Coturnix japonica: one gene and its partner. The protein of the gene in region 1 binds, or shares a complex with, the protein of each later gene. Links are inferred from orthologs where the notes say so. Each region holds a gene or a part of one and is shown on either strand. Other genes may lie near its edges.

Region 1 (14,003 bases):
TCCCTCTTTTAACTTCAAACCATTTCAAACCATGTCCCCCATTGTCAGCCCTTATGAAGAGTTTACTCCCCTCACTCTTCTTTTAGTTGATTCCTAGGCAACAAATTGGTTTTTTTTCAATCAACTGAGGTGCTAGTTTATCTTTCTGTGAAGAGAGGGAAGCGGGTGGTGCTTAAGCATAAGGAGACTGCAGAGCCTCCTTCTCTGGAGGTAGTCAATACCAGCCTGAGATGCTCTACCAGGCGATCCACGGAAGAGGGTCTGCTTTAGCAGGGGTCTGGACTACACAGCCGACTAAAGCCTGAAAAGCCAGAATCACAGAACTGTAGGGGTTGGAAGGGACCTCTAGAGATCATCAAGTCCAACCCCCCTGCCAAAGCAGGTTCCCTACACCACGTCACATAGGTAGGCGTCCAGGCGGGTCTTAAATATCTCCAGAGAAGGAACCCCCAAGAAGCCCCTAGGACCCCCCTACGCTACACTGATCAGGGCACCCCCCCCCCCCCCTGCAGCAGTACTTATGCAAGAGGACGATACCATCCCAACATGGCGGGGGGGAGAGAGCGCAGGGCCACCCTTCTGACTACGCTCCAGAAAGCGGCGAGAAGAGAGAAAGCACCTTTGTGAATCCGCGCTGTGTCTGCTCTCACTCCTTCGCTTCAGTCCACTGCGGTGCAGGCCGCTTAGCTCCCGTACTGTGTTAAAGGATATCCCCTTTCCGCCTCCCCCCCCCCCGCGCTGGTGGACAGGGCTCCGCTCCCACAGCCTCAGACGCTTCCAGAACGCTGTGACCCACACGCCATATTACTCCTCCTAGTTCTCTGCGCATGCGCTGGGAGCGCGCTGACATCACGGCGCGGCGGGCGCGGCGGGATCCGTTTAGTGCTCGGGGTGGGTGCTGCTGCAGCCATGTCGGCCATGGGGACGCTGGCGTTTGATGAGTATGGGCGGCCCTTCCTCATCCTCAAGGACCAGGAGCGCAAGACGCGCCTTATGGGACTCGAGGCTCTCAAGGTGAGCGAGTGAGCGAGCGGGAGGACGGGCACAGGATCTGCCTGTAGAGGGGGGGCCTTGCTGGGCCATGCTGCCATGCCGCCGTTAGGGGGGGGGGGCCGCTAGGCCGTGTATGGCCGATTGCTTGCTTGGTCTACAGCCACACGCTGCTCTCCCTAGTGAGCTTACAGCCTGTAAGTTACATTAGTGCTATAGTTCAGGAGTGCGATTTACCTTTTATCTCCGTTGTTTTGCAGTCTCACATCCTGGCAGCAAAGGCTGTGGCGAGTACTCTGAGAACATCCCTTGGGCCCAACGGTAACAATGAAATTACTGTACTCTTTTTTTTCCTGCACCTTGTTTTCTGTGGGTTTTTAGCTTTTTCACTCACTTTCTTGATTTTTTATTTTATTTTATTTTTTTTTTTGTCAGGCTTGGATAAGATGATGGTGGACAAAGATGGTGAGGTGACAGTGACAAATGATGGAGCCACCATCCTGAACATGATGGATGTGGATCACCAGATAGCCAAACTTATGGTGGAACTGGCCAAATCTCAGGATGATGAGATTGGGGATGGAACCACTGGAGTCGTGGGTAAGAGCAGATTGTGCTTAATCAAAGAACCGCAGAATGGCTTGGGTTGGAAGGGACCTTAAGGGTCATGAAGCTCCAGCCCCCATGCAGCGGGCAGGTCTGCCAGCTTACAAATCTCATTCAAGACCAGGCTGCCCAGGGCCCCATCCAACCTGGCCTTGAAAACCTCCAGGGATGGGGCATCCACAGTGACTCTGGGCAGCCTGTGCCAGCACCTCACTACTCTCATAGTAGAGAACTTCCCCCCTGATAGCCAACCTAAATCTTCCCTTAATGTGGGCTTTCCAGTTATAAAAGCATACTTTCAAATGTATTTTAAGAGGAAAAGTAGTTTTCCCATAGTGTATTTACTGCTTTGGTATTTTTCGTTTCTTATTTGTAGCATTTTAATTAGAAATATGTTTTTGTAATTTTTTACTGTGGTTGTGTTTGAAGTTAGCATTGAAAGCATTTGACTAAACTTATTTTTGTTACTTTTTACCATAGTGATCGCTATTGGCTTCTGTGTTTCTCTGGTCTAAATAATGCAGTTTTCTTAGTGAATATGGGGTTGATGGTACCATTCTTATTGCCTGATAAATCTCAAACAGTTAAAATACAATAGAAAAATCTGAAGGCATACTTATTAAACTCTTGATGGTGTATGAGATATCATGCCCCCATCTCTGCAAGAGTAAATGTGTGTTTGTTTGTGAATTCTTTACAGTTCTGGCTGGAGCATTATTGGAACAGGCTGAACAATTGCTAGATCGTGGTATTCACCCTATCAGAATAGCTGATGGTTATGAGCAGGCAGCCCGCATTGCTGTTGAGCATCTAGACAAAATCAGCGACAGCTTTCCAGTTGATCCACAGAACATTGAACCTCTGATCCAAACAGCAAAGACCACGCTTGGCTCTAAAGTGTAAGTTTATAAAAGCTTAATGAAAGTGTGTATATTTTCCATGAGTACTCTTTGGTTGAAAAAAAGAAGTGTTTTGATGGATGATTACATTGTTTTTTGTTATTGGAGAAGCTGCTGAAGGCTTTATTATATTTGACTGGCTTATTTCTCAAAAAATTCATATTTCAGGATAAGAAATTGTGAAGCCCTTATTCTCAAAGGGGCAGTTTTGTGAAATCAAACAGCTACAAAATCATTTTCATTCTACCCATTCTGTTTTGTATTACTGTATCTTGGCACTTAGAAACTTTGAGTTCTAACATTCAGTTATTTTTAGAAAGGGTTTTTTTGTGGGTTTTTTTTTTTTCTGAACAGACTCATAGGACAGTTCTGGATTCACAATTGCAGTTTTCATTACTGGTTCTATAGATTTATATATATACAGATGTTAAGGATGGAGATGCTTTTGTTTTATACAATATTCTTTCTACGCAGTCTCATTTCTCAGTTGTCTGTGACTCTTTAGGGACTAAATTTTTAAGATACCATTGTGGGATCTGTATGTAAAAGTATAGGAAAGACTTGAGAAGACAGCAAAATACAGAGGGAGCTGTCTGCCATTTTTAATTACTCCTGGACAGTAGATTTTATGAAGTGCAGTATCAGTTCTCCCCGCTTGTTTCATATTGATGCCTTGAGACTATGTTCACAAAGGATACATAGACAAACTGATATTTTTTTTCTGTCATAGTTAGCATGTTCATATTCCTGTGCATCAATGAGCTGGATGCCTTTTCTTCATGCAGCAAACAAAACACATTTGCTATAGTAATACATATCCTTTCTCTGTTCAAAATTGATAGAACCTGTTTCTTCTGAATGTGCAAATATAATACAACTGTATTTTCTTTAAATTTAGAGTCAACCGTTGTCACAGACAAATGGCAGAAATTGCTGTGAATGCTGTACTGACAGTAGCTGATATGGAGCGTAAAGATGTTGATTTTGAGCTGATCAAAGTACAAGGCAAAGTGGGAGGCAGACTGGAAGATACGCAGCTGGTAAAGGGAGTGATCGTGGATAAAGATTTCAGTCATCCCCAGATGCCTAAGGTGAGTGAATCCCCTCTCTGCATCTCATCTGTAACAGTTTAAATAACATTTAACAAGTAGTATATAGGTTACACTGTGAAAAGGAAGGTTAGAGGAGAGTATCATACACATTCAGAAGTGTCAGTGAAAGCGAGTGGGTTGTATTTGTAATGTCCACTGTGGATAGGAAGCTTTCTTCTTTTTAAACATCTAATATTTAAAATAAATGACTGAAGGCTGATGGGTGCTTAAACATTTGTGTCCTGAAGCTATGGAATTTCTCTTATGTGAAACTTCAGATGAAACTGAGTATAACCGGCTTCACTTTAGAATCACTTAAATGATCATCAAGGATCCTACAGCCCCTACTTATTTAAAGATAACATTTGTGCATTGTGCAAATACAAATAGGAGGTGTGACTGTCATCAAACTGCAACTTTTTATTATTGTACAGGAACTTAAAGATGCCAAAATTGCAATCCTGACTTGCCCGTTCGAACCACCGAAGCCTAAAACCAAGCATAAGCTTGATGTCACATCTGTAGACGATTACAAGGCACTGCAGAAATATGAAAAAGAGAAGTTTGAAGAGATGGTGAAGCAGGTAGAGTCTTCAGAATTATGTTTCTATTTGTATTTTTTACATAGCCTTTACACTAAACAGAATCACAGAATTATCAAGGTTGGAAAAGACCTAGAAGATCATCTAGTCCAACCATTACCAATACTTCCCAGCTAAATCATATTCCTCAACACAACATCCAAATGTTTCTTGAACACTCCCATGGTCGGTGACTCCACCACCTCCCTGGGCAGTGCATTGAAATTTGCTTTCATTTCTTTCTATGCCTTCATGTACAGATATACTTGTCTTCTGCAGACTTCTGCTTTGAAAAGAGTAGAACTAAAACAACAAAGGAATGTGTTTGTGAAATTCCTCGTTTCTGTGTTAGTGCTGATGGTTATCACTGCGTGCTGCTTTCAGATTAAAGACACTGGTGCAAACCTTGCTATTTGCCAGTGGGGCTTTGATGATGAAGCAAATCACTTGCTGCTTCAGAATGAGCTGCCTGCTGTTCGTTGGGTTGGTGGACCCGAAATAGAAGTAAGTACAATCTTCCCAAACTGGGATTTTTACCAGATCTCAAATCTTTGTTGAGTGATCTGCTGCACAAATTAAAAGTTTGTGCTTTCTGAGTAGAATTACATTATTATTATGTAGTATTGGCACGTACTGAAGCAAAATCACTGGGGATCTGTCTGTGGAAAGAAGCTGGAGTTAATGGGATTGTGGTGTGTATTGCAGTCCATGCGTATTGCTCCTTACAGGTTGTATGCGGGTAGGAGCGATTTTACTTTGTGTCTTGTTTTAGAATCAAGGCATTGCCTGATGGGAAGGTAACTTTGTTGGAGATATTTGACTATAGCTTTACTTTATTAAAATAATTATAGAAAAGTCTTCTCAAAATAATGGAGTTTCTTAATTCTAGTTAATCGCCATTGCAACCGGAGGACGCATCGTTCCTCGTTTCTGTGAACTCACACCTGAGAAACTGGGTTTTGCTGGTGTTGTCAGAGAGATCTCCTTTGGCACAACAAAGGACAGAATGCTTGTCATTGAACAGTGCCAGAATTCCAGAGCTGTGACCATTTTCATCAGAGGAGGAAATAAAATGGTAAGACCTTTGTTTTCTGTCCTGGTTTTGGCTGGGATGGTGAATTTTCCTCCTAGTAGCTGGTATGGTGATAGTTTTTGGATGTTGGGAAATAATTTGTATAACACACCAATGTTCTCCTTGTTGCTGGGTGGTTCTGAACAGAACCAAGGACTTCCCTGCTTTTCACACTGCCCTGCCAGCGAGGGGCTGAAGCAGCACAAGGAGTTGGGAAGTGACAGAACCAGGACAGCTGACCCAAACTGTCTAAAGGGATGTCGTATACTGAATGGCATCGTGTGGAACTGAAAGCTGGGGAGGATCAGGGACTGGCTGGGCTTTGGTCAGTGTGTAGGGAGCAGTTACTTTGTGAACTAGTTCTGTTTACTCTTTTTGTTATTGCTTTTTATTGTTTCCCCTTCTTTCTTTCCTTACTAAACGTAGCCGTTTGCACACTGAAGAACTTGATAGTTGGGTGCCCTGCTGGATAAAGTCACAGCTCGTAGTTAGTAATGTTTTATACGTACATTGTTGAATATGTAGTCTCTTTCATTTTAGAAGCCTATTAACTCTTCCATTAATTTTATCTAAGCTTTATCTGCAGTGTGGAGTAATTTAGGGGTTTTGTAGGCAACGGTGTTTGTGTTCAAGTCACTTGTTGAGTCACATCCATGTTTTTGGGTGAAAATTTTGTTTTCTTATTGGACCGTATAGTTAATAGACAGAGAAATAATTTTTGGTCTCTCATTTCCTTTATGGGAGAGTCACTTTCATGGGTGAATATGTATTTTTGCAAGACTATATTTTAATATATACTTATGTCACTTGTTCTGGTTCAAAACGTTTTAAAATGGTCTGAGTTGTGCCTATTTTTTATGCTTCTCTGCTTAATTTGGTTCATGGCTGAATTGTTAGTGTGAAATGATTTATATTGTATATTATTATAGGTTATGTCCTGTTTTGAGTCAAAAAGTTGGGAAGAAATAAACTGCTGGAAGAGGTTTTTAAAGAAAACAATGCTTCTTTAAAGGCTAATATTAACTTGTTAAATCCTTTAACATCTATTGCACTCTGGATAGTTGACACTAAATGCAAGGAGAAAAAAATGTTGGTGTTTAAATTTGTGGCTTTTGTCTTGGAAACGTGTATAAGACTGAAAAAAGTGGTGTAAGTTTTCATAGTTTGAATTTATAGGTACAACAAATAGCACTGAAATGTGTATATTTTGCATTCCTTCTCTGCCACTAGGTATTGTAGCATTTCACTTTTTGAAATAGTATAATGTAGCATTAGTAGAGCTATAAAGAGATCCTGTCATAGAATCACAGAATGGCCTGGGTTGAAAAGGACCACAAAGATCATCCAGTTTCAACCCCCTGCTATGTGCAGGGTCACCAACCACCAGACCAGGCTGCCCAGAGCCACATCCAGCCTGGCCTTGAATGCCTCCAGGGATGGGGCATCCACAACCTCCTTGAGCAACCTGTTCCAGTGTGTCAGCACCCTCTGTGTGGAAAAACTTCCTCCTAATATCTAAACTAAACCTCCCCTGTCTCAGTTTAAGACCATTCCCCTTTGTCCTATCACTGTCCATCCCTGTTAACAGCCATTCCTCCTCCTGTTTATATGTACACTTCAAGTAATGGAAGGTCAATCATTTACTTGCATTCTTTTATTTTCTCGCATTAGGAAATGCATCTCCATATTCTCCAGTTGTGTGCAGTATGAAGTATGTGCTATTGTATCGTTTCAGATTATTGAAGAAGCAAAGCGGTCTCTTCACGATGCTCTGTGTGTGATCCGGAATCTGGTTCGCGATAACCGCATTGTGTACGGTGGTGGTGCAGCTGAAATTTCATGTGCCTTGGCAGTCAGTGAAGCAGCAGATAAGGTAGGGAAGGAGCCTTTGTAGAGGTATTGCAGGTCCTTTTTGGATAAGAGCAATATAAAATGGTTTTTATTTGCAGGCAGTTAGGCAGAATACTCTGTCAGTTACTAGGGTGAATATTGCCAAGAAAACTGCATGAGTATTTTAGTGCAAAAGTGCACTTTTGCTCACTGCAGAAATAAAAGCTGTATCACTTTTTACTTCCTAGTGCCCATCTTTGGAACAGTATGCTATGAGGGCGTTTGCAGATGCCCTGGAGGTAATCCCTATGGCCCTTTCGGAGAACAGTGGAATGAATCCAATTCAGACAATGACTGAAGTACGGGCTAGGCAAGTGAAGGAAAACAATCCTGCTCTTGGCATCGACTGTTTGCAGAAAGGAACAAATGGTAAGAAGTATACCGTGAAGAATAGGGAACATAACAGGGTTTCCTTCCTTAGAAATCTGAAAGCTTTCATTTTATCAGCAGTCTTATTTTTCTTTTTATTTTTCAATATGTCTGTCAGAATTACAAAGTCTTTTACCTTACCTTGTAAATTGGAGTGGGGGTAGAGAGATAAATGATGTACAACAGGAAGAAGATCTGTAACTGCTGGATTCAAATTCTTATTCTGCCATTTATTTGAAATGAATGAAAAAAAGAAATCTTGAAACATCAGGTGTTGTGCTTACATAAATACATAACAGTTCATTGATATTTCTGTATCATGGATCTTCAACTTTGAGCTGAATGCTCTACTCTTAGGATGCTTCTGATATCTGTACACAGAAATGCAGGAAGGTGAAGTAACAACTGAGGAAGACTTAGTTGTGAGAAGAGAGTTTGGTGTTAAGGTTCTGAGATCTTTGTTAAGAGCCCAGGCTAAAAGCTATAGTTTATACTAATTAATGATGATTGTGAATAGAAATAATTCTATTACGTTCAAAATTAACGTAGAAAATAACTGTCTCAGGTAAATAGTACATTTGGGTTTGAGGAAGGTCTCTAATGCTTTCGTATCTTCTTTTTTAACAGATATGAAACAGCAACATGTTATAGAAACCTTGATTGGTAAGAAACAACAGATTTCTCTGGCAACTCAGGTCGTTAGAATGATTCTGAAGATCGATGATATCCGTAGGCCTGGAGAATCTGAAGACTAAAGGTTGAAAAACATGGAAAGTTAACGGGGCCACAACAGTAGCGAAGACGGTAGTATTCTGATGCTTCATCTTCAGCTATTTATTTTGGACACTGTTTCAGATACTGTAATGGCTAATGGTTGGAAATAAAATGCAATTTAGCACCGATGGTTTCAAGCCTCGTTTCAGAATTGTCATTGTGTCTTGTCATGGACAGTTGTAAATAGTCTTAGGAAAAACATTCTGAATGTGTAGCGGGGGGAGAGTAATGGATAATGCTAATGGTTTCATAGTAATGGGGATAGGAGAATGGTTGGACTAGATGGTCTTGTAGGTCCTTTCCAACCTTGTGATTCTGTGCATTAATAGTATCTCACACATCCATTGTTCCTGCAGCTAATTTCTTTTAACTGCTTGTGAGCAAAGCCCACAGTTTTCCATTTTAAGTGTGTCACTCTTTAGTGCATGAAACTGAAAATAGTTGTAGCCCCCAAGAATTCTTACATGCTGAACACGTTGATTGTGTAGTTTACATTTGGAGATTTAAGGTACCATACAACATGTTTCAAGTTGCTTGAAAGTTGCACAAATCTTTGACTTGTGATGCTGAATAGAAGCTGCTTAAACAGAATCACAGAATTGTAGGGGTTGGAAGGGACCTCTAGAAATCATCGAGTCCAACCCCGCTGCCAAAGCAGGCTCCCTACACCATGTCACACAGGTAGGCGTCCAGGTGGGTCTTGAATATCTCCAGAGAAGGAGACTCCACCACCTCCCTGGGCAGCCTGTTCCAGTGAACAGGCTTGAGGCATTCAGCAAACAGCCGCGAAGCATTCCCAGATCTTGACAGCCTTGGGTTTATTCAGTGTTAGAGCCATTTGAACTGTGGCATGAATGAACACCGCATTATGAAATATGAGCTAAATGAACAGCTCTATACTATATATGAAATAACATGCCACAGGGCATTACAGTGCCATGCTGGAAGGGTTTAGGAAGACGATAATCTCACTTGATCCTTGCAGAATCTTTGAACAGCTTATCTGGGTAGTTTCTTTGGCATATTAACACAATAAAAGCTTCACCTATTAGCTGTTTCAGTTACATGTTTGTTTTTCAGCATGGTTTAGAAGACATGGTTAGTTTTAAACGTAGGATGTCCAGGAGGAAGAGCAAAGTTGGACACCCAGCTCAATTTGTAATTGAACATTCTGGCTCCTTGATAGATGTGAAGAACAGAGGGCTCTGTGCAGCAGCACTGCCACTGGAATGGAGAAGGCTGTGACGGTGCTCTGCTCTATGTATGTTGCATTGGTTCACAGTAACTTGCAGCTTGCAGGCAGTAACGTAGACCAGGTTATTCCCAATTCCAGGAAGACTTGCAGCCCAGCAGGCTGGGAGGCTCTGGGGGTGTGAAAGTTGAAACTTGATCAGATTTGGAGGTTTGCTTTTGGGGTGGGGGAGTTCTACTGCAGTCCAGAAGCCTCTGGAACAGGGAAAAGGTGATCCCTTTGCTCATTCATCTGCCTTAAGGAAATGAAAGTCTATGTATGTATGTAAATATTATCTAATCTCAAATGAGACTTTCATGTGGAATATTAGAAGACTGGTAGTGGAACACTGGCAAAACTCTGAAAATGAGGGTTTTTCCTGAGGCTTTTACTAATGGTTTTCAAAATAAGATGTAGCATTATCACCTGAGTTATTTAATGCGTACGTTTAGTTGATGTTTAGGTTTTGCATAGGTAATTGGAGGACAGCGATGTGCAACTGAAGAGCATTAAACCATATTATTGAAGCCAGTGCAGTTCAAGGTTGTATGCTTTCAAGACTGGAATAATTGTGCCTTCTGTTTTGTTTAACCGCAAAACCACTGTTACGATTTGGGGCTGAATCTGAACTGTGAGAGGTGAACACTGATACTGAAATGGAGTGTTTCACTGGCCTTCAAATTCTTCAATCAACCTGGCAAAATGCAGGGCTTGCCACTGGAGGGCAATGTAAGAATATTAGTGCCAGAAGGGGACTGCAGCTGGACTGAACGGTAAGCTGAAGCCAGGCAGCTTTCTTCAGCACCATCAGCATTGCGCACATTTATCACCATCGCAATCTGAATCTTTTCAGAAGCTTGGTACCTTGAACTGATTGCATAAATATTCCCTCTTAAATCCAGTGTTTGATGTCATCTTAGAACCCGCACCCTGACGATTCACTGTGCAGCTAAACTCATGGAAAAGCCATTTGGCATCAGAACTCAGACCCAATTCTAAGCCTCTCTTGCTGTGTTCCTGGGCCTAGTTCCTTTCCTCCTTCCCTCTCCTGTCTCTGCACTGACACGATGCTCATCTTTGCGGGTGCTTGGGGGAGGTTCCTAGAGAACAGCGTGCAGATTCCTCCCCATCCCTTTGGTCACACCCAGCTTATGGCAGCCAGCAGCTGCTGGGTGCAGTTTGTGCAGGGCTGGGATCCTGGCTTTGGGTGCGCAGTGGTTTCTCAGCGGTGTTGGGTCTGGGTGGGTTTTTCCAGGAGGAAGATACTTGCCACTTGTTGCATCGGCAGCAGCAAGTCCCTTCCACAGTTCAGATGGACAGAGAACAACCTACCCTGAGCCATTTTACCGTAGAGAACGAGCTGGGAGAACTTCCATCTTCCATCGTAACCATGCCAAACAGCATTAAAAATTGCTATTATGTGGGCTGTGGCTGTTACAGCTCCTGAACTCATACCATCATCCCATGAGGGATGATTCAGTAGGGAGGAACTAGCCCCGTTTGTCCTCTCTGCGTAGAAGTACCTCTCCATTTCACATCTTGGAGGGCTTCCCAGAAGCTCTCTGCCAGGGAACATTTCTCACCATGTTAAAGAGCCAATTAAATGGACTGACAGCGTTTGCTTTGTAAACAAGTCCTCGCTGTGATACAACAGAGACAGTCTGCTAAACTCAGATGATGGGAGGGTAACGCTTTAGCATGTTCTCTGCAAGTCACTGAACCTGTTGTACATGTGCTAGAATCTGCATCTTTATGGTATTTCTCCCCAGGCTATTTAGGATCAGTTTCTGTGCTACAGTGAGGTTCCTGGTGTTCAGTACTGAACAGCAGCAGCACAAGCACTGAAAGGATCAGGTCCCTGGCAGTCACCTGGCATCTGACTGCTCCCTTAGTACGGAACACCACAGCCAGGACTCTGACAGCACTCTCCTTGCCTCCCCTCCCAGGAGTTCAGATACTTGTGTGGGTGGCACGGCTGTGTCATCTGCAATTAGACTGCTATCAAAATCATGGAGTGGGAGATGCCTCTCCCTTTCCCTCAGTAGATGTATTTAAGCTCAGGCCCTGTCCCTTCCTCCTCACCTAAGTTACCTTTTATCTGTCTGTGCCTTGACCCCAGTGCTGCTTTGACTTAGTGACTTGCTCTTGCCCTGCTGTGATGAGCTTGCCTGGTGATCTGGGCTCTTGGCTGACCCTGGCCATTGACACTAGAGGCCTTGGTTTTCCTGCTTGTCCCCCTTGCCTATGAGCTGTCCCCACCTGCCCTGCTGTCACCCTCAGTCCTTGACCCAACTTTTACCTGTCAGACATTTGTATGCTCTTTTTCTGAGGTGGGCAATTGAGGGGCCCAAAGGGAGAAACTAAGGAGGAGACAAGAAATAGAACAAACAGGCTGCTCATGGAGATGGTGGAGTCACCATCCCTGCAGGTGCTCAGGAACCAAGGTGGATGTGGTACTGAGGGATGTGGGTTAGTGGGTACAGTGGGAATGGGCTGATGGTTGGACTGGTTGATCTTTCTTAGAGGTGAACTCGAACCTCAGTGATTCCATGAGAACCAAAGCAGACAGAGATGAATGAGCATGTATAATAAAATTCATTTATGTGGTTTAATAGTATCGTAAACCAAAAAAATAAATGCATATGAAATATTTAAATGTTTGACTGGGATTTAGATCTCTGATACGGCACAGTGCCTTTTTACACCATGCAAAGAAAACTGTTGGTTTCTGTGTAATTCATACATAACCAAGTTGGATCCTCAAAAACATTTGTTTCTTCCTCCGGAGCTGGAGGGTGGTTCCCCTGCTGGCACAAACAGGGCCCATGTACACAGGGACTATCCAGTGTCACTTCAGCTGCTCCAGCCTGAGGGCATCAGGGCCACAGATTGTCTCAGTTTCAAGAAGCTGCCTTGATTTATGTGCCTTATGTCACCTAGTTCTCAGTGTATCGTAAAAAACCCATCCAACATGAAAATTGCTGAGTTCCCACTATCTAACTGGACTGTCTGGTGGTGAGCCTCTCTGACAGCTGCTCCTATTCATCACTCACTGGCCATTCCCATCACCCAGGCCGCAGGTGCAAAGCCCTCTGCAATCTCCTGACCTTTCTCCCACACATACATCACAGCCTTCTCTGCTTCTCACTGCCAGGTCTGTCCCTCCAACCAAGGGCAGGAGCTGATGGCCCTCAGCCGGGTTTTCCAGTGAACCTAACCCTCCTCTAAGGACCCTTCAAGCAGCAGTCTAAGCTGACATTAGCTGGTTTCTTATTTTTCACATCCAGCTACTGTGTTGGCTGGCATTTTGCTAGTGCCTTGACTAGGTGATTAGATATGAGGTCGTCTCATTAACACGTCTCAAGCAAGTGGAAAAAGGCCAAAGGCCAAGAAAGGCAAGTCTCCGGCACTGCTTTTGAATTAAGGACAGTGCCAAAAGTTAAGTGATTACAAGAGGTAGAGACTGGCAAGGTAGCCCAGAGAGATGGAAAGCGATGCTTGGAGAGGGCTGGCAAAGCAGACATGTCCGAAAACCAGCTTAGGAAAGATCCTCCGCTGCATAGATTTGGCACAGGCTTGCACTGGAACATCATCTTAATGCTGGTTGTGCTGCCTTGCTTTTCAGCTATGGTGACTCAGTCTCTAAGAAAAGCTACTGCTACAAATCTCATGGGAGCTCCATTTCTGACTCCTTGGGATCTCTGACAGGATCTTTCTCTTGTTCCCGTCATTTTGGAACCATGCAAGTGTATGGGAGAGGGGCAGATCTGAGCTGCCTAAGTCCCATCTTCCTTGAGAGTGGCAAGTTGCAGCAGCAGAAGAGCAGAGATCCTAAATGGAGCCATACAGTTCTCAGTTCTCACTGAGCATTATTTTTAGTAGAAGCGCAGAAGCTAACAGGGCTAACACAGTTCAACAGATGCTTAGCAGCGTTAGCTTGATTTGAAGCGTTAGCTTCAATTTCCATCTGAAACTGAGCATGGGAGGAGGTGGAACTCTGTTCTAGAGGGAGCAGCTCACAGCAGTGGAAAGCAGGTTGTGTTACTAAACCCTGAGCCAATCTGGATTGCTGAGACAGGAGCTAGTGGGTATGGGCATCCAGGTCCTTGACTCACTGCCAGCAATGGTGGAGGCTTAGCTGCTGAAACACAGCAGTGTGAGCATCCAAGGGACTGAGAAGTGGCCCTGAGAATTCCTGCAGTGAAACATTCCCTGGAGGTACCTGCAAAAAACAGGATACCACTTAGGAGCTAAGCAGGGAGGGAGAATTGCTCTGTTGATGGGGTAGGATGGGACAGAACAGTTCCTGCGAGGTTTCAAGATGGGCTAGCTCCTGTAAGGGTTTAAGTAGGGGCACTGATGAGATGATAACAGATGCCTTTTCAAGCCCACTCAGAAAGAAATGTAGCAGCTCTGGTGTCTCAGTTGCCCAGACTGGAGCCCTGGTACTGATAGTTCATGGTCTGTGTGTCAGAATTTTTGTGCAAGGCAGAAGGTGAG
Region 2 (15,420 bases), on another chromosome or scaffold:
TGTATTTAGGACTCTGTGAATGGAAATAAGGCTCAGTCTGTAGTCCAACAACGGACTAAAGAGATCAGAGAAGGAAGCCACATGCAACAGGAAAAAGATTCAGCACATCTGTGCAACTGCCACAGCTGAGCTTCCTCACAGTTAAGATGTACAAACATGCCAGCAGCTGTCACCCTCTGAGAAAGAGCTGAGCCCATCCGTGAGATACGTTTCAGTAATGCTCCAGTTGCTAAACTCACCTTTACATGCTCATTAGGAGTGAAAAATGGAAAAGAAAACCACAATCACTGAAATACATCGCTGTCCAACAGAGTATGAAAGGATGTTCACACCATCCAGAACCAAATACCACTACACACACATTTTTAATTCACTACCTTTACAACAAACAGAAAATAATTTTGCCTCCAGCAACATATCATTCTTGAACTCTTCAGAACAGTTTTACTCCCACTGAACACAGACCTGTTTTGTAGGTGTGACGAGAAGGGAACAAATAAGAAACTGTATGCCCACAGTCATCCTGCTCTCCTTGTACCAGAACAGAACTTGCACTTCCTGACTCCTACATCCACAGCTATGCGAGGAATCTCACTGCTTTCTCTCCATTTTGGTCCAATACCTCTGCCCCACAATTTTCTGTATCAAATCACTCCTCCAGTTTTCCATCTTACTATTAAAAAAAACATAAAGGATGTTCTTCTGGACTGATAACATGAAACAGGGCTCAGTAACTTTGAAATTAAGCTTTGGTTACTTCAAACTCATTTAAGTTTGCAATTTTGTTTTACACCATCTCCAGTCCGGCTGGGTGGTAGAAGACGTTTGACATAATAAGCATTTCAGCAGCATTGCTAATGAATGCAACCCCTCAGAACACTTAAAGAAATGAATAACTGAATGGAAATGGCTCATTTTAAATTCAAAAGAAGCCTTCAGAGATGCATTAGCTTCATTTCCTCAGGACACTTTGACAGATCTGACTCAGATGCAGCAATCCAGCCTTATTTTTATATAGCTAGATGGAGTAAATTGCTGGATGAGATTGCCAATGACCATCTAACAGTACTGTCCACAGCTTTTCCTCTTCAAATGACTAACAGTAACAGATAAACAGCAATATGAGACTGATAACAATATGCAGATCTCATTGAGTCACCATTACTTTAAAAAAAAAGTGAAGTGGAAAGTCTATATGAGTTGACCATTCCTCAATTGATACGATAAAACAACACCTGAGAATCAGTCCAGTGCTGCCTAATAAGAGAAGCACCACTTTCACATTACTGCAGTAATATCAATTTACAGAGCAGGTTTGTAATAAGATACACACACAACTTCTCTCTCAGCTTGGAAGAGAAAGCCTTCTTCATATTGCTGGGTGGAAGTAACTTATACAGAATACTGCCAAATCCCTGCACTGAACACTTGCATATTTCAAACATCCATTTCCTGGAGAGCGAAGAGCAAGAGAACCAGGATTTCTTCATCAGCCTAATACTTAAGCACAAACAAAACACCCCAGAAGAGTGGCAGACCTTCCAAATTTATTTCTGTAGCATAATGCATGCATTCAGACATTAAAAGGATGACACTGTGTCACACAAACAGCTGTAGTACAACCATTCTGCCCACTGAACACGCATTTCATCCTTGGCTCCAAAAACAGCTTAGATCACCTAGCTGCTCACAAAGTCAGCTCCTTTACCTTAGTCCTTGTTTACTTTATATCACACAACATACTTGCGGGTTCTTGTAAGCTGTAAATACTAAGGCACTTCCAGTTGAACATCTTCAATTTGAAAAGATCATTGAACACACAGTTTCACATTTCCATCTGCACTTGAATTTGGTAGCTTTCCCTTTGCAAATAAAGCCAAACCAAACAGCGTTACCTTCAAGCAACAAGCTCTCTACTGTCTCTATTTACACTTGCTTTGCAAAGAAGTCACATCAACATGCTCAGGCAAATGTCCAGAAATACGCTACGTGCGCTTACAGGTGTTTTAGCAGATAGCCAAAGAACTCTGGGTAAGTTACAGAAATCTAATGCATTAAACTCAATTCTGCAAACAAGAAGGAAGCCAGTTTTTACAGAATTTAAAACCCACCCTCTGTCAAGACACCAGCTAGATCTAGTTCTTTCACAGATAGTTCACTGGCTTGAAGCAATATCGTTCTGCACACCGCCATCTCTCAGCACTTCTGAACCATCTGAGACAGTCACTTTAACATCATATGAGACTCTATTGTTTGTAAGAGCTCTGAAATGCATCTCCTCTCGCTCCAAAGTCTGACAATGATACGGATCAAAGATGGCAACAAGAACACTGACTGATTCAAGCTTGATAAAATAATTCTCTTACCCAAACATTTTCTTTCAGTTATCCCTCTGGAAGGTGACACTTCTAACAGTTACACGGTTGGATGTAAATTCATTGCAAGTACAAAGTCCTGCCAGCCAGTGACCACTGACAGAACTACAGCTTGATTAATAGCTAATCTTGGTATATAAGGAGCTCAGAAAGAAAAGTAGAAATTCCTTTCCCGATTACAAGGATATATCTCTATTTCAAATTATTATACATTACTGTACAAAGATGCCACATGATAGTGTTAGTCATTAGGGTGGAATAAGGTGGATAGCTCTGCTGCATTGGAAAAGGAAATACACATCCTTTGACAACTACTTCACAGAGTGTTTGTAAACTATGAATCTAATTTGTGTTTGGAGTCAAGTTGATGAAGAAAAATCAAACTGAACACACAGGCTCCGTGTCTCAATTAAGCACAGCACTAACACTTGTCACAGCATGAGGATAAGACACTTACAAATCCAACATCCAAAGCAGAGGGAACAAATCTCACATCTTCATCTGCTGTGACCCCACAGATGCCAAACAGCACAAACACATAAATTAGAAAACGACCTAAGACAGGATCTAGTACATAGCTACGGTGAATACTCACCTCCAGCAACATAATCTAAATGGAGAGATCACAACTAATAGAATTCTAGTTCATTAGTACTTTCCACACAACTGACTACCTGAGCAGTTTAAGTATGTTCATACAGGGACCCTCTTCCAGCTGAAGAATTGACTACTTCATGCACAGGACTCACGCTGCGCTTTGCCCACTTAAAGAGTTGCTCTGATCCAAGTGTTCCAGTCAAAATGTAACTGAGAGATCACAGACTATGAATTCCCATTCGGACTCCGCCTGTTTAGAAGACGTAATACAACTGATACAATATGATATTTTGAATCAACTTTCCCTTCTACAGGTTTAAACTTAAGTCAGTTACTCTGTTACCCCTTTGTATTCTAGGTTTTAAACAAGGATGGCACAAACTTCTGAAAAGAGCTTGTAGTCTTTGGAACAGAAAATTGCTTGTTCTGACATGCAAGCTGTTCTCTCCCTAAGCTCTCACAGAGTACTTTCCTGCACTTATAAAATCCTTTGCCATGTAAGCAAAAATCTAGAGTTACTTGCCATTTAAGAGAGAGAAAAGAAAACAAAACAAAAAACACTGCTTAGATCATTCTAGAAGGCCTCAAACAAGACTACACTGACTGCAAAAGGTCACTAGGGGCACAGAACATGAGATTATTTGAACCAAGTCAGGGTCAAAGCATAAAGCAGAGCACTGGCATACCAGAACGGATTACCCACCTAGGTAGCTAATAGTAAAACAGCGAGCTTATGCCTGCATTGATCAACAGCAATCCAAAGCACAGAATCACAGACAGAGCATGCCTAAATTGATTGCAACCACATGAATTTCTGACACCAACTCCCGGCACCATGCAGGACCCAAATTCAAATGCTGTATCTGAAAGCACTGACAAAACACTCCCCGAGCTCTGGCCGTGCTCGCTGCCCTGTGCAGCCCATTCCACGCCCTCTAAGGCAGAGCCTTTCCCGAACCTCCCCTGGCACAGCTCCATGCCGTTCCCTGTCACACAGAGCAGAGCTCAGCGCTGCCCTCCGCTCCCTATGAGGAGCTGCAGCCGCCATGAGGCTCCCCCCAGCTCCTCTGCCCTGGCCCAGCACATACCTTGTCCTCCAGACCCTTCCCTCCTTTGGAGCCTTTCTTTCAGCGATCTCTATCAGTTAAGAGTTCTTCTTACACTGTGGCAGCCAATCTATAGCTTCATGCTATAGGAGATTGTCCAGCTCTGATTTGTCAAGATCTCTCACAAGGCCTTCTCTCCCCCCGAGGGCAGAGATTGACTGTAGAGTGGTACATGCTATTAGATCATTAGTATTGCCTTCCTTGTTACCAGAACAAGCAGAGAATACAAAGAAAATAAATCACCCTCAGATACACCCTAGAAGACCTACTTTTTAAAACCAGGAAGCTATTTCTAACTTGTAAACAACCCCTCCTACCCTTTCCTCTGAAAAAAACTGTTTTCAAAAACATCTTCCAGAGCTTTTTTTCAGTTATGGCTCCACGAGACCATTTTTACACTGTCACTGATTCGAATTACAGTTATCATTTTAAATAGACAGTAATGCCTTTGTGTGAACAGCCTTTAAGTAAGGATTTAATAATTTCAGGTCCACAACTTACAGAGAAGACTGCAAGAAATTACAATAGGAACAAAATACAAGGGAAGGTGGATAGCAGTTCCTGTTAGAAAGCAGAACTTCTCTCATAACAGTTTATCAAAATATTCATGCTATTACCAACTGTGAAATACAGAACAAGCTGATGACAAAAAGCTTATGACATGGAGACTGAGTAGTGTTAGGAGTGCTTAATGCCCTGAAGTCACTAAAGTTTGTGTAAGCAATATGAAGCCACACGCTAATGGAATTAAAAACAAGTAAGATGGTGCCTACTGTGGCATTACAGTTCTTTTGCCACCAGCACCAGCAAAACAGCTCGGGCTGTCAATGACAATGTTAGATGTGACAGCCTGCCAGGCTGCTCCAGAAACCTGGCTTGTTGTCTCCGAACTAAACATTTTTGTCTTTCAAATAACAAGTGCTGAGCACTGCAAGATACTGTTAGAACAATGGAGGTGGAGCTCTTCACATGTCTTTGATAATTTGATTGTTGAGATATTAGCTAGCCACCAACTAACAAAGAAATTAATAAATCTCACAGCTGAACAACAGGTCAACATATTAAAATAATCTGAAAATATAAGCTTATTAAAGAGGAAATAACATTTACTTATCATCCATTCATATATCTAACATTTAATACTTCCTCGCTTTCTGCATGATGTTCCAGGTAACTTTTAGTTTCCATTTTCCTTGTGTTAAATCTCTTTTCCTAGAAGAAGTGACTTCAGCCCTGATTCCTGTGCTCCATACTGCATGAGCAGGAGAGAAAAAAAAAATAAAGCAGGCCGGATCCAGCAATGAGAAGAAAAATGTGCAATCACTTTCAGTTTTGCTTCTGAGACCAAATCCATGAGTTAGTAACAATGAAGTTTAAAGATTATATTTTCTCTTCCCCTATTCTTAGGATCAATATCTTGTCTAAAAGGCTTAAGTCACTCATTTGCAGTGGTGCTCCAAAGCATCTCTGGCACTTACAAATTACAAGTCAGTGTTTATTGAAAAAAATCTGAAGTCATCCAGCAACACCAGCACTGCCATACTGCAGGAAACAAACACTCCCCTTACAATATAACATAACACATGGCCTGGCACACATCAGCCCACTACCACACATATCTTCCTCAGATGGCACAGAGCTATGTGCATAGCTCTGTTCTGAACAGAGAAAAAAAAATACATCAAAAAATAAAATACTGCTGCAACTCGGAGAAGTCAAGACCAGTTGTAAGGAAGTAAGTAGTTATGGGAGTGCCTGCACTAGTGAAGTTCCACACTCCAGACACGACCAGGCAAGGCAGATGAGGCAGGTAGCTAACTGCAGAACCACCTCAGTTTCTTTCCCAATCTTGACCACAAATTGGAGCAGATTCCTTCCCAACAAACTCCCACAAAAACCCATTCACCCAGTAACAAGTTTTGAGATGCCGATGCCTTCTATCAGTCACACAGAGGCTGAAGTCCGAAGAAAGAGATGTCCGTAATTTGGCAATGCTTGTCATCTATGAATATCCACATCTGACACAACTGTATTTTTATCAAAACTCAAACAACAGCTACATCTGTCGTCAAGCAAAGTGCCAGAGTCCACCTGCTTATCACTGCATATGAGGCAATATTTTTCTGTGTGTTTTTTTTTTTCTTGGTCTTGTCTAGCAACTAAAGTGATATGGAGAACAAAAACTCTTTACCAAGCAATTACTCACTTCCAACTATTGTCATTTCTATTACTTACAAGGAAACACTCCTAACTCGCCTTTTAAAATCAGAGACTTTGCTCTATGAAAAATCAGAAAGACAACCCTCAAGTTACAGTAAATATCTTAATCACAGAATTAACCATTTTTCTCTGAGTGACTGTGAGCTAACAGCACACAAGGCATTATCAGGAAGTTAAGGACTACAGAGGTGAAGTATTCTTACCCTATGGCGTACATCCACAGTACGTCTGCATCTCAAATGCAGAAGATGTGGCCCTCTTTTCAACTTAGAAGAGGAACAGCTAACTGGAAATGATCCAGAAATAGGTAATGAGCATGAAGTGAGATACGGAAGGCTACCACCCATACAGTAAACAAGACTTCAGCTTGTCAGCCTGCAAGGACTAGAGGGAATACAGCAGTTATTTAACATCAAACGGATGACTGAGCGCTACTCATCTCACAACGTAGGCACCACAAATAAACAGACTGACCCGAAGGACAGCTCGACAAGATCCACACGCAGCTCTTAGCCCATCCAAACCAGAAGATGCCGATTTCCACATAAGATGTGGTTACTGCAGTAAGGAAGCTCTTTGGTGGGCACTCACCCCGTACCCGAATCCCAGCAGCTCTGAGGGCGCAGTTTCACCGCGGGGCAGCACCGGGCAGACACCGGAACTACGGGGCAGCACGGAGCGGAGGCAGGACCAGGCCTGACCCCGCAGCGCCGGGAGCCGCCCTCCGCCTGCATCGCGGTCACGGAGCGAGCGGGCCCCGCTGCTGAATCACGGCGGGACAGCGAGAACGGGCGGGGAGCCCGGGGAGGGGCCGCACCCTCAGCCCCTCAGCACGAGGAAGGGAACCGGAGCCTGCCGGCCTAGCTTGGTGAAACGCCTCCGCTGCCCCCCTCCTTCACCTCCCCCCCCGCCAGGCCCGCTCGTTACCTGCCGGCCCCTGGCTGGTAACTGTCCCCGCAGCCCCTGCCCACCGCCCGGCCCTACGCCAGCCGCAACAAGCCGCCCTCTCCGGCCCGGCCGCCGGGCGCCGCCATCTTGCGTACCTGCCCTCCGCCTCGCCGCCCCGGGGACGTGATGACGTCACGACGCAGCGTCACCTGCAGGCCCCGCGGTGACGTCATGGCGGGGCGGGTGTTGGTGTGCGGCGCCCGTCAGTGCAAGGGTGACCCTGCTCCACACGGCTCAGAGATAAAGAAATAACGAGATAAAGAAATAACGAGCCAGTCTGTAACAGATCTCTGGAGGTGCCCCTTTAGACAGACCATTCACTTCACAACCCCCTTTTTTTTTTTTTTTAAAACCCCTTTTTTTTTAATGTTCTCAGCAGCATTACTGTCCCTGTGCATTAAGCCACTCGCAGCAGCCTGGAGGTGCCTGTGTCAGCATTCCCACCTGTACAGCTGTGTGTCCCTTGGGGTAACCTGTACATGCAGCACATTGCTTTTTTGCTCTGAATTACAGTGAAAATACAAGCGTGCACAGAGGGCATGAGCGCAGTGGATGTTTTAACACAGGCTGCGTTACAAAGTGTTCAATGAAGAGCGATGGGGCAGAAATTGAGGAAATATCATGAGCGTCCATCAGGACAGTCGTTGTGGAAGCCGGGCTGGGGCGGCGCAGCCTGCACCACTCCCTGCCGCCACCAGGGGGCGCTGCCCGGCCCGCAGCGCGTTGCCTGGCAACCGCAGTGGAGGCGGCGCCCGCTGCCGTCCGTGCGCTGGGACGCGGAGCTGCCGTAAAGCTGCGACTGCCGTAAAACGGGGAAATGTCGTGAAGGGCGGTCCGGAGGGGCCTGCGGCGGAGTGAGCGGCCGGGCTCGGCTGCCGGCGCTTCATGCTACGTGTCGTGGCGGCTGCCTGCTCCGTCTGCTCCATGTGGGGTCCGAACCGGGCTCTCGGCTTCACTTCTTCACTTTCTTTCTACTATGGCCAGGAAAACAGTTAGCAGGAAGCGGAAAGCGGCGTCGGCGTCCGCCGCGGGGCCCGGGGGGCTCTATGGGGAGCAGGTAGGCCTGGGGGGTGTATGGGGAGCCGGGGGGCTCTATGGGGGCAGGTAGGCCCGGGGGGCTCTGTGGGGAACAGGTAGGCCCGGGGGCTCTGTGGGGAGCCGGGGGGCTCTATGGGGAGCAGGTAGGCCCGGGGGGTGTATGGGGAGCAGGGGGGGCTCTGGGGAGCAGGGGGGCTCTATGGGGGCAGGTAGGCCCGGGGGGCTCTGTGGGGAACAGGTAGGCCCGGGGGCTCTGTGGGGAGCAGGGGGGCTCTATGGGGAGCAGGTAGGCCCGGGGGCCGGTGTGACTGAGCGCGGTGAGTCCGGCACCGGCTGCGGGCGGGGGTCGGTGTGAGCGGCCGTTGTGGAGCCCGGGTTAAAGAGGGGAAGTGGGGCTCGGGGATGTCGGTGTGCCGCTGATTGATAGGGGGTGATTGAGGGCAGCTGGCGGTAACGGGCCGGGGGGCGTCGCCCTCCCGCTGCTGTCAGGTTCCCTTCGAATCCCCGCTGTCCCGCTGGGTTCAGCCGTTGTTTTGCCCGTAACGGCCGCGTCCCGGGCAGGGCTCCTTGGCCATGCAGCGGATGGAGCCCGGTGTCGGCCGCAAGAGAGCTGTGGATGCCGCGGTCGGTACCGAGCGGCCCCCGCCCCGTGTGGTTGTACTTCGCTGGGGTGGAGTCTGGGGCTGCTCTCAGCTGCTTAAAATGCTTATTTTTCAGGTTTCTTGTGTCTCCTTTATCACTTCAGCAGTGCTAAACTGTCTGTGGCACCACTGCGATACCACTTATTTAGCAAAATGTGTTTAATTCTGCGATGTAAAGGCTGTACTAGCACTTCTGTGTTGATCTTGTATGATTTCTTATGGATAGTTTAGAAGACTTAAGCGATCTGAATTGGAAGACTGCTGGTTTGGTTTTTTTTTTGGTTTTCTATATTATTTCCATGTTTGTTTTCCACAGTATGGATGGGATCATTCAGTGCACAAAAGGAAGCGGCTTCCCCCAGTGAAGCAGTCCCTGGTGTATTACCTAAAAGGGAGGGAGATCTGGATGCAGAATGAGTCCAGCTACCACCGCCTGTTGCACGGACATGCAGCCCAGCAGCTTCCCAGCCTCCTGAAGGAGAGGGAGTTTCATCTTGGAACCCTCAATAAAGTGTTTGCCTCCCAGTGGTTGAACCACCGGCAAGTAGTTTGTGGGACAAAATGCAACACAGTAAGTACCTCTTCTCTTGCTTCTTTCCTCTGTTCTGTAATTCCCTTTCCTCATGCTGGTGCCTTTTGTAATCTTATGTAGGCTATCAAGGAGAATATTAGGAAGTAACTAGAACCAGAGTCAAAATTGTATCTAATAAAACACGAATATGTGTAAGGTTTGACTGTGGCCCATTTTCATCTGAAAACATGGCTCTGTGCATGTGGATGTGAACCAGACTGAGACCTGTACCTGTACACAGGCTCTGCAGAATGGAACAGTGTGGTTGACTCTTTCTTGTTGTGCTGAAGATGATGGGGGGAGGAAGGATTGGTTAATGATTGTACCTCTGATTTCTAAATAATGTGATGTCTAGCAGAATATGCTGGTAAGACTCTGTTTTTTTGTCATCTTCAGCGTGTTTTGGGTTTTTTTTTTGTGTTGTTCTGTTGATGACTGAGAAATTACTACAGAACTAAAAGCTCCTGTTAAACTCTCGGTATTCTTCAGAGTAAATGTTCTAAGATTTAAAAAAGAATTTCACGTATTCAAGATTATCCTTTGTTTGTTTACTTTATGATTTTTTTCCAATCTAAATCTCTTTAGTTTGTGTATGTTCATGTACTTCCATGTACTTTAGCAAACACTGAAAACTCCTCAGGCTCTTAAAGTGATGATTTGGGTTTTAAACATTATACGGGAATGTTAAAATGGGATATTACTTATTTAATAAATGGAGGCGATCGTACATATTAACTAATATCTTCACCTGGGATTAGTTAGTGGCCTGACCTTAACAGCTAATGGGAAGCCCTGATTGAGTTAGTGTAAAATCCAGAATTTGTTCTTTTCAGGTTGTTTAGTGCTACTGAAACAAATCAAATTTTGTAAGGAATGTATAAACAGTTTGTAATCTTCCAAGTATATGGAAGATTATGAACTGTTGTGATCGTTTCTTTGCTTTAATTACTTGTAGAAGTTGCGCACTGTGGTCTGACTTGCAAAGGACAGTGATATTTTTTTCATTTCAAATTTTCTGTAATTATTCATAGTTGCACAGGAGGAGACTTCTATGCAGTAGCTCTTAAGAATCAAGGCCTAGCTGTATAAACAAAACAGTGTTGTAATAGGAATAATCCTGGAGCAGAATCTTTTTGCTTTCTTTCTCCATGCGTGCTCACTGCCTCAGCTGATCAGCTGCCAGCCCTTCATGGAACAGAGTTTTAGCCCTTCCTGCTAAAACTCCAGCCTCAAAATCTTGCTTATTCTAGCAAGATCATTGCAGGTTTTATCGTCTGCAACAGTTTTGCTGTGTTCTGTAACTTCTGTAGTTCTATTGCCTCTGCAGCAAAGATAAATGGACAAATGCATTGTTAATGCAAGCTTGCAGAAAATGGTTTGTGAGCAAACAATCAGAGAACTGAAGAGGGATTCAGCCTTACTGTTGTTCCTACTGCATATGCTGCAATGAGGTATATGCTTCCACAGCTGAACTTGGAGTACTGATGGACATTGTCCTGATGACAGAAGTCAGCTTTGTCATTATGGAAGATTATATATGAATTATGAATACTTAGTCTGGTTGCTTTGTGCTCACATTTTAGCAACTAGAGTGTTAAACAACACTTTAATTATAAGATTTTCTTTCTCATCTCCTGAGTAAGCAACATTATAAAGATGAGTTCTTTTGGTTATTCTCATGCACTGAACTTGGGAGTAAATTTGTAACGACTTCTTTAACTTCAGTGGGGTTTGTTACACTGGCATGGCTTGTAATTAAAGCTAATGCAACAAAAAAAATTAAACCAAACCAGTTACTTGAATCAAAGCTTGAATATGACACTGGGAGCCTTTTTGCAGTTAATTTATAAATTACCTTTGGCTATGCGGTGCCAGAGGCATTCACCAATTTAATAACAAAACAAAAACACGCTCTTGTCATAAGACAGGCTTTACTTTTAATCATTTGACAGTACTGGTCAGTCTAAGTGCTGAAGAGACTGTAGAGCTCACAGTTGTTCTTTTTTAATAGAAATTATAACTAGTTTTATTATTTCAGGTAACTTCTTATACTTAGGATTATCACTGAAGTGTTTGTGTGTGTAAAAAAACTTTACTGACTTCCATTGAATCCTTGAATGCTTGTATATGGTCAGTCAATTGCATGTCAAATTAAGTGTTTTGGTTTATGAAAGGTGCATACTTTCTTTCCCAGATACTTTATTATGGAAGCTATCCAAGCATTCAAATGTCAAAGTCAGATGCAATCACCTGGGACTTTCTGAAGTGGGATTCGTGTTTGCGAGGATCTTCTTGGTCTTGTATAAAATGGGCTTCTTAAAGTTGTTGAAAAACAAATGAGGAAACAGACAAACCTCTGAGACATGCAGGTGTTTATAGTGTGTCATTGTGGCATCTCAATTACCAAAGGCTGGTACCAGGAAGTCTCAGAAGATTCTGTCTGTAATTAGTGTGTTGTGCTCAGGCTTTTCAGAAACTGAAGAGATGGTGGAGGAAACAAGCTTGTGACAGAAGAGAGCTCTAAATGCTGAGTTACTGAACTGTTTCTTCCCTTTATACTATCCATTACCATTTCCTGAAATTAAGCATTTTCTTGTGTCTTCTGATCCTTAGCTCTATGTATCATAATTCTTTTGCTAATTATGAAGTGTGTAAAAACACTAGAGCTTTAAATTCATTCCCTAAATACGGAAAGCTACTTAAACAAAAACCTGAACTACCCAAATTCCTTGTTTGCTCTCATCTGATTTCTCAGGTGGCTTTTCTGTGGTTCAAATGGTTTCCAGTTCAGTGACACTTTTTCTCCTTGGTAGATTCACACACTGATTTGGGTGCCCTAGTGTAAATGACCAGCTCTTGTTTCTGCTTAAGGATTTTTTGTTTGTTCAGCGCACCTCATATAATTGTAGTCTTCTAGTCCTGGTGTCTGTAGTCCTGAACTACTCAATTCATGGTTCTTATATCTGTGAATATGGAGGGTCTAGGAGGAAACGCTTTCTACTTGCTTTGCAAGTGAATGTATCCCCTGGTTTTGGCCATGCTGTCAGGAATCAAATAGACTGCTTGTTTCTTGCTCCCAGGAGGGAAGAAGTCATGTTCTCACAGTTTATAACTCTGCTTGAGCACTGTACTTTGCTCACTGTAAATAGACCTCCGACACCAGTAAATAGCACCTTAATTCACCTTTGTTTCAGTGTTTTGTGAGGGCACAGTGAGATGCTGTTTCTCATCTCTAGGGAGTGTTAGGTTTTCTCTCTGCGTGTGATGCCCATGTCTGTTTCCAGAATTTGTTAGCTTCTTTGCCAGGTATGGTGTGGGTGGCAGAGATGCCCTGTAGCAAGTGAAGTCTCTCGCTTCCCCATCCTCTGCCATCTGTCAGCGTGCACTAACTGTCTGCCAGCCTCCTGAAATTAAACACGGAGGGCAAGACGCAAATAAAAACCGACAAATGTGACTTTGGCACTGAACATATTTAGTGGCATCAAAGTGCATGCCCAGGAACTGTGAGGGCTTAAGAGTTTCGTATCCAGGTGGAGTGCTTGCTTGCACTGCTCTGCCTCTGGAAATAGGAATTCAGTGTAAACTTGCTGACTTTTTTTTTTTTACTGCAGTTAACTCCTCATGATTGTTTTTTCTCACTCTGGATCCTTTTGAGGAACTTGTGTAAGATCATTACCCCGTGGTGCTGATTGTACTGCACAACCTGTAAGTATGTTCCATGTTAAGATTAGTGCATGTTCTGAGCTCAGCTGGAAAGGAATTCTACCAGTTTGAGTTCTTAGTCTTTGGAGGTTTGATGTTTCTTGAAGGCCTGGCATGATACATTAGTGAATCTGTATTGCCATAGGAATGAAAAGCTTTATGTGAAGCATTTTGTGATCTTAAAGAACAGAAATGCTTACAGTCCAAACAGAAAACAATACTGAGAAATGGGGTGGGGAACTGTGTGCTTGTCAGAGTAACCAGCAGTGGTGTTAGTGTATCCACTCTAAGCATTGTCTTGTTTCTGTTGTTTTGTTAGTGAAATAAAATTCAGAGATGATGATGTCATTTTTCAGCTTGGCTGAGAGTGAAATTGTTGTGATCAGGTTCAGCTGGTTGCTAGCCATGCCTCGCAGAACAGGATGTTCCCACCTGCTCATTCCTGCTGGCACTGATGTTCACATGGCTGAGGAGTCAGCTGGGTCAGCTTGCTGCTTTGTATTGAGACAAAGATTAGTTTCTACCAAAGGCAGAGAGGTCTGAGTGACCTGGCAGCTACCTGAACACCAGTTGTTGTTGCAGAGGTGGTGAGACAGGGTGAGTATGTGAAGAAGGTACATGTGGATTCCCAAAGGTTGGCTTAAGCCAGTTGTGAAATTCTATCCCAGATTATTCTTTTAATAATTCTTTTTAGCGAGGCAGTGTGTTTATCTGGAGTTTTTTCAAATATTTTTACGAATGATAAAAGTGCATTATGCTCTGTGATTTCAGAGCAGCCTGTAAATAGCTGAAGCACAGTGTGTATCGTGTGTACTTTTTCTGTGAGGAATAAGTAGTCTCTTTCATGCGTGTTCTTTGTATCCTGTGAATCTGGGTCTGTCCTGTTTCTGAAATAACAGCATAATGTAGCTGTGGGTTACAAGCTTTGGTTTGTTCAAATTGGTTTGAACAGGCAACCTTAATTTTCAGCTGATTAAACTGGATGCTATTCTGTGCACAAATCTAGCAGCTGAAGATGCAGCATATTCTTCACATGATACCATGAAAATTGCATTTCTTTGGTCAGATTTTTTTTTATCTTGCTCTGCATACGAAGATGAGAATTTTCAAGGTTTCAGTGTTCTCACTAAAATAAATATGACCAGAATGCTTCTTGAAGTAATGGTTAGATCAGATGTAGCATTAAAATGGCATAGGCTGAAATATTACTTGCTGTATTTCTCTGTCAAATCCTTTCAGTGTGTATCTGAAATGTGTGTCTTTTCTTTCCCTTGTCCTCCTAAACTGTTGTCCCTTAAAGGCAAGTCAAAAAATGAAAGCAGACTTCTGACAAAGTGACACCCAGAGAATGGATTTTGCAGTTTAGAATGAGGTCTTCTGATATGTGATTCCCCATTAGAGGGAATTGGCTTTTGGCTTGTTGATCAATTAAGTTCTGTCATTAATGAAGTGAAACACTGTAAAAAGTAGGACAAGGGGCAGCCTCTTAGAAAATGTATAGAAGCTAATTGCTAGAAGAATTTCTAGCTATTCTGCAATACAAATTGAAATAATAGTAATAAAAAGGACACAATTAGTAATTTCATTGAGTGTGAAAATCATAACCAGATCGTAAAAACTTGTGTCTGAGACAAGTGTATTATATAGCTGTATCAGTCTGCCATGGTCCTTTTATTTTACTACATGCTGGAGTTGTAGCTGAAACTTTTTTATAAGCTGTCAGGTATTTTACGCTTTATTTACTGTAGTGTCTTGAAAACTCATAAAATAGTATGCAATTGTCAGCATTCTTAGCTGGATGCCTATCTTAGGCTGGTATAAAGCCCAAAAGGTAAAAATGCTAAGAACAGCTGTTTGGCTTCTGTGCGCTGTATTTACAGGGAAGATTTCTTGGCATTCTATGGCTCTGTTTGCAAGTGTGAGCTTCTGTCTTCCTGCGGTGTCCCAGATGATGCAAAAGTCATAATTTAAGCAGGTAGCATTTGTTTATTCTATTCCTGGATTGTGGTTTTAGTCTGTCTGCATTATGTTCTGTTTTTTACTATGTGCAGTAGTTGCTGCTTCAAACCATACAGCTGAACTTTCAAAGCCTGTCCCTTGACTTGAGTGTGAGGCTCTATGATACTTCAGTATTGTATGTTTCCAATTTCTTTGACTTTTTGATTAGTTTGGAGTTTAGCGTTATTAAAGTAATTTCACATTAGGGTAAGTATTTTTGTTTT

Evidence for each region.
Region 2: the proteins of CCT5 (region 1) and DCAF12 are in contact, whole or in part, in a cryo-EM structure (PDB 8AJM), measured with the Homo sapiens proteins. The link is inferred for Coturnix japonica from reciprocal best matches to the Homo sapiens genes CCT5 and DCAF12. Residues at the interface, in NP_036205.1 of Homo sapiens: Gly537, Glu538, Ser539, Glu540, Glu541; in NP_056212.1 of Homo sapiens: Lys91, Phe93, Lys108, His144, Trp186, Phe188, Arg203, Lys254, Arg256, Glu298, Val300, Arg344, Phe411, Tyr422, Leu440, Pro441, Ser442, Gly443.

The regions. Positions count from the first base shown.
Region 1 is NC_029517.1:52,184,680-52,198,682, forward strand, and holds CCT5 (T-complex protein 1 subunit epsilon), read left to right. Parts: upstream 1-841; 5' UTR 842-909; coding exon 910-1,014; intron 1,015-1,250; coding exon 1,251-1,311; intron 1,312-1,425; coding exon 1,426-1,590; intron 1,591-2,296; coding exon 2,297-2,495; intron 2,496-3,393; coding exon 3,394-3,586; intron 3,587-4,020; coding exon 4,021-4,170; intron 4,171-4,551; coding exon 4,552-4,671; intron 4,672-5,056; coding exon 5,057-5,242; intron 5,243-6,974; coding exon 6,975-7,112; intron 7,113-7,317; coding exon 7,318-7,498; intron 7,499-8,125; coding exon 8,126-8,253; 3' UTR 8,254-8,409; downstream 8,410-14,003. UniProt on the Homo sapiens protein: Component of the chaperonin-containing T-complex (TRiC), a molecular chaperone complex that assists the folding of actin, tubulin and other proteins upon ATP hydrolysis.
Region 2 is NC_029547.1:6,948,451-6,963,870, reverse strand, and holds the start of DCAF12 (DDB1- and CUL4-associated factor 12), read left to right. Parts: upstream 1-8,037; 5' UTR 8,038-8,222; coding exon 8,223-8,303; intron 8,304-8,802; exon of another isoform or gene 8,803-8,857; coding exon of another isoform or gene 8,858-8,908; intron 8,909-9,241; coding exon 9,242-9,496; intron 9,497-15,420. UniProt on the Homo sapiens protein: Substrate-recognition component of a DCX (DDB1-CUL4-X-box) E3 ubiquitin-protein ligase complex of the DesCEND (destruction via C-end degrons) pathway, which recognizes a C-degron located at the extreme C terminus of target proteins, leading to their ubiquitination and degradation.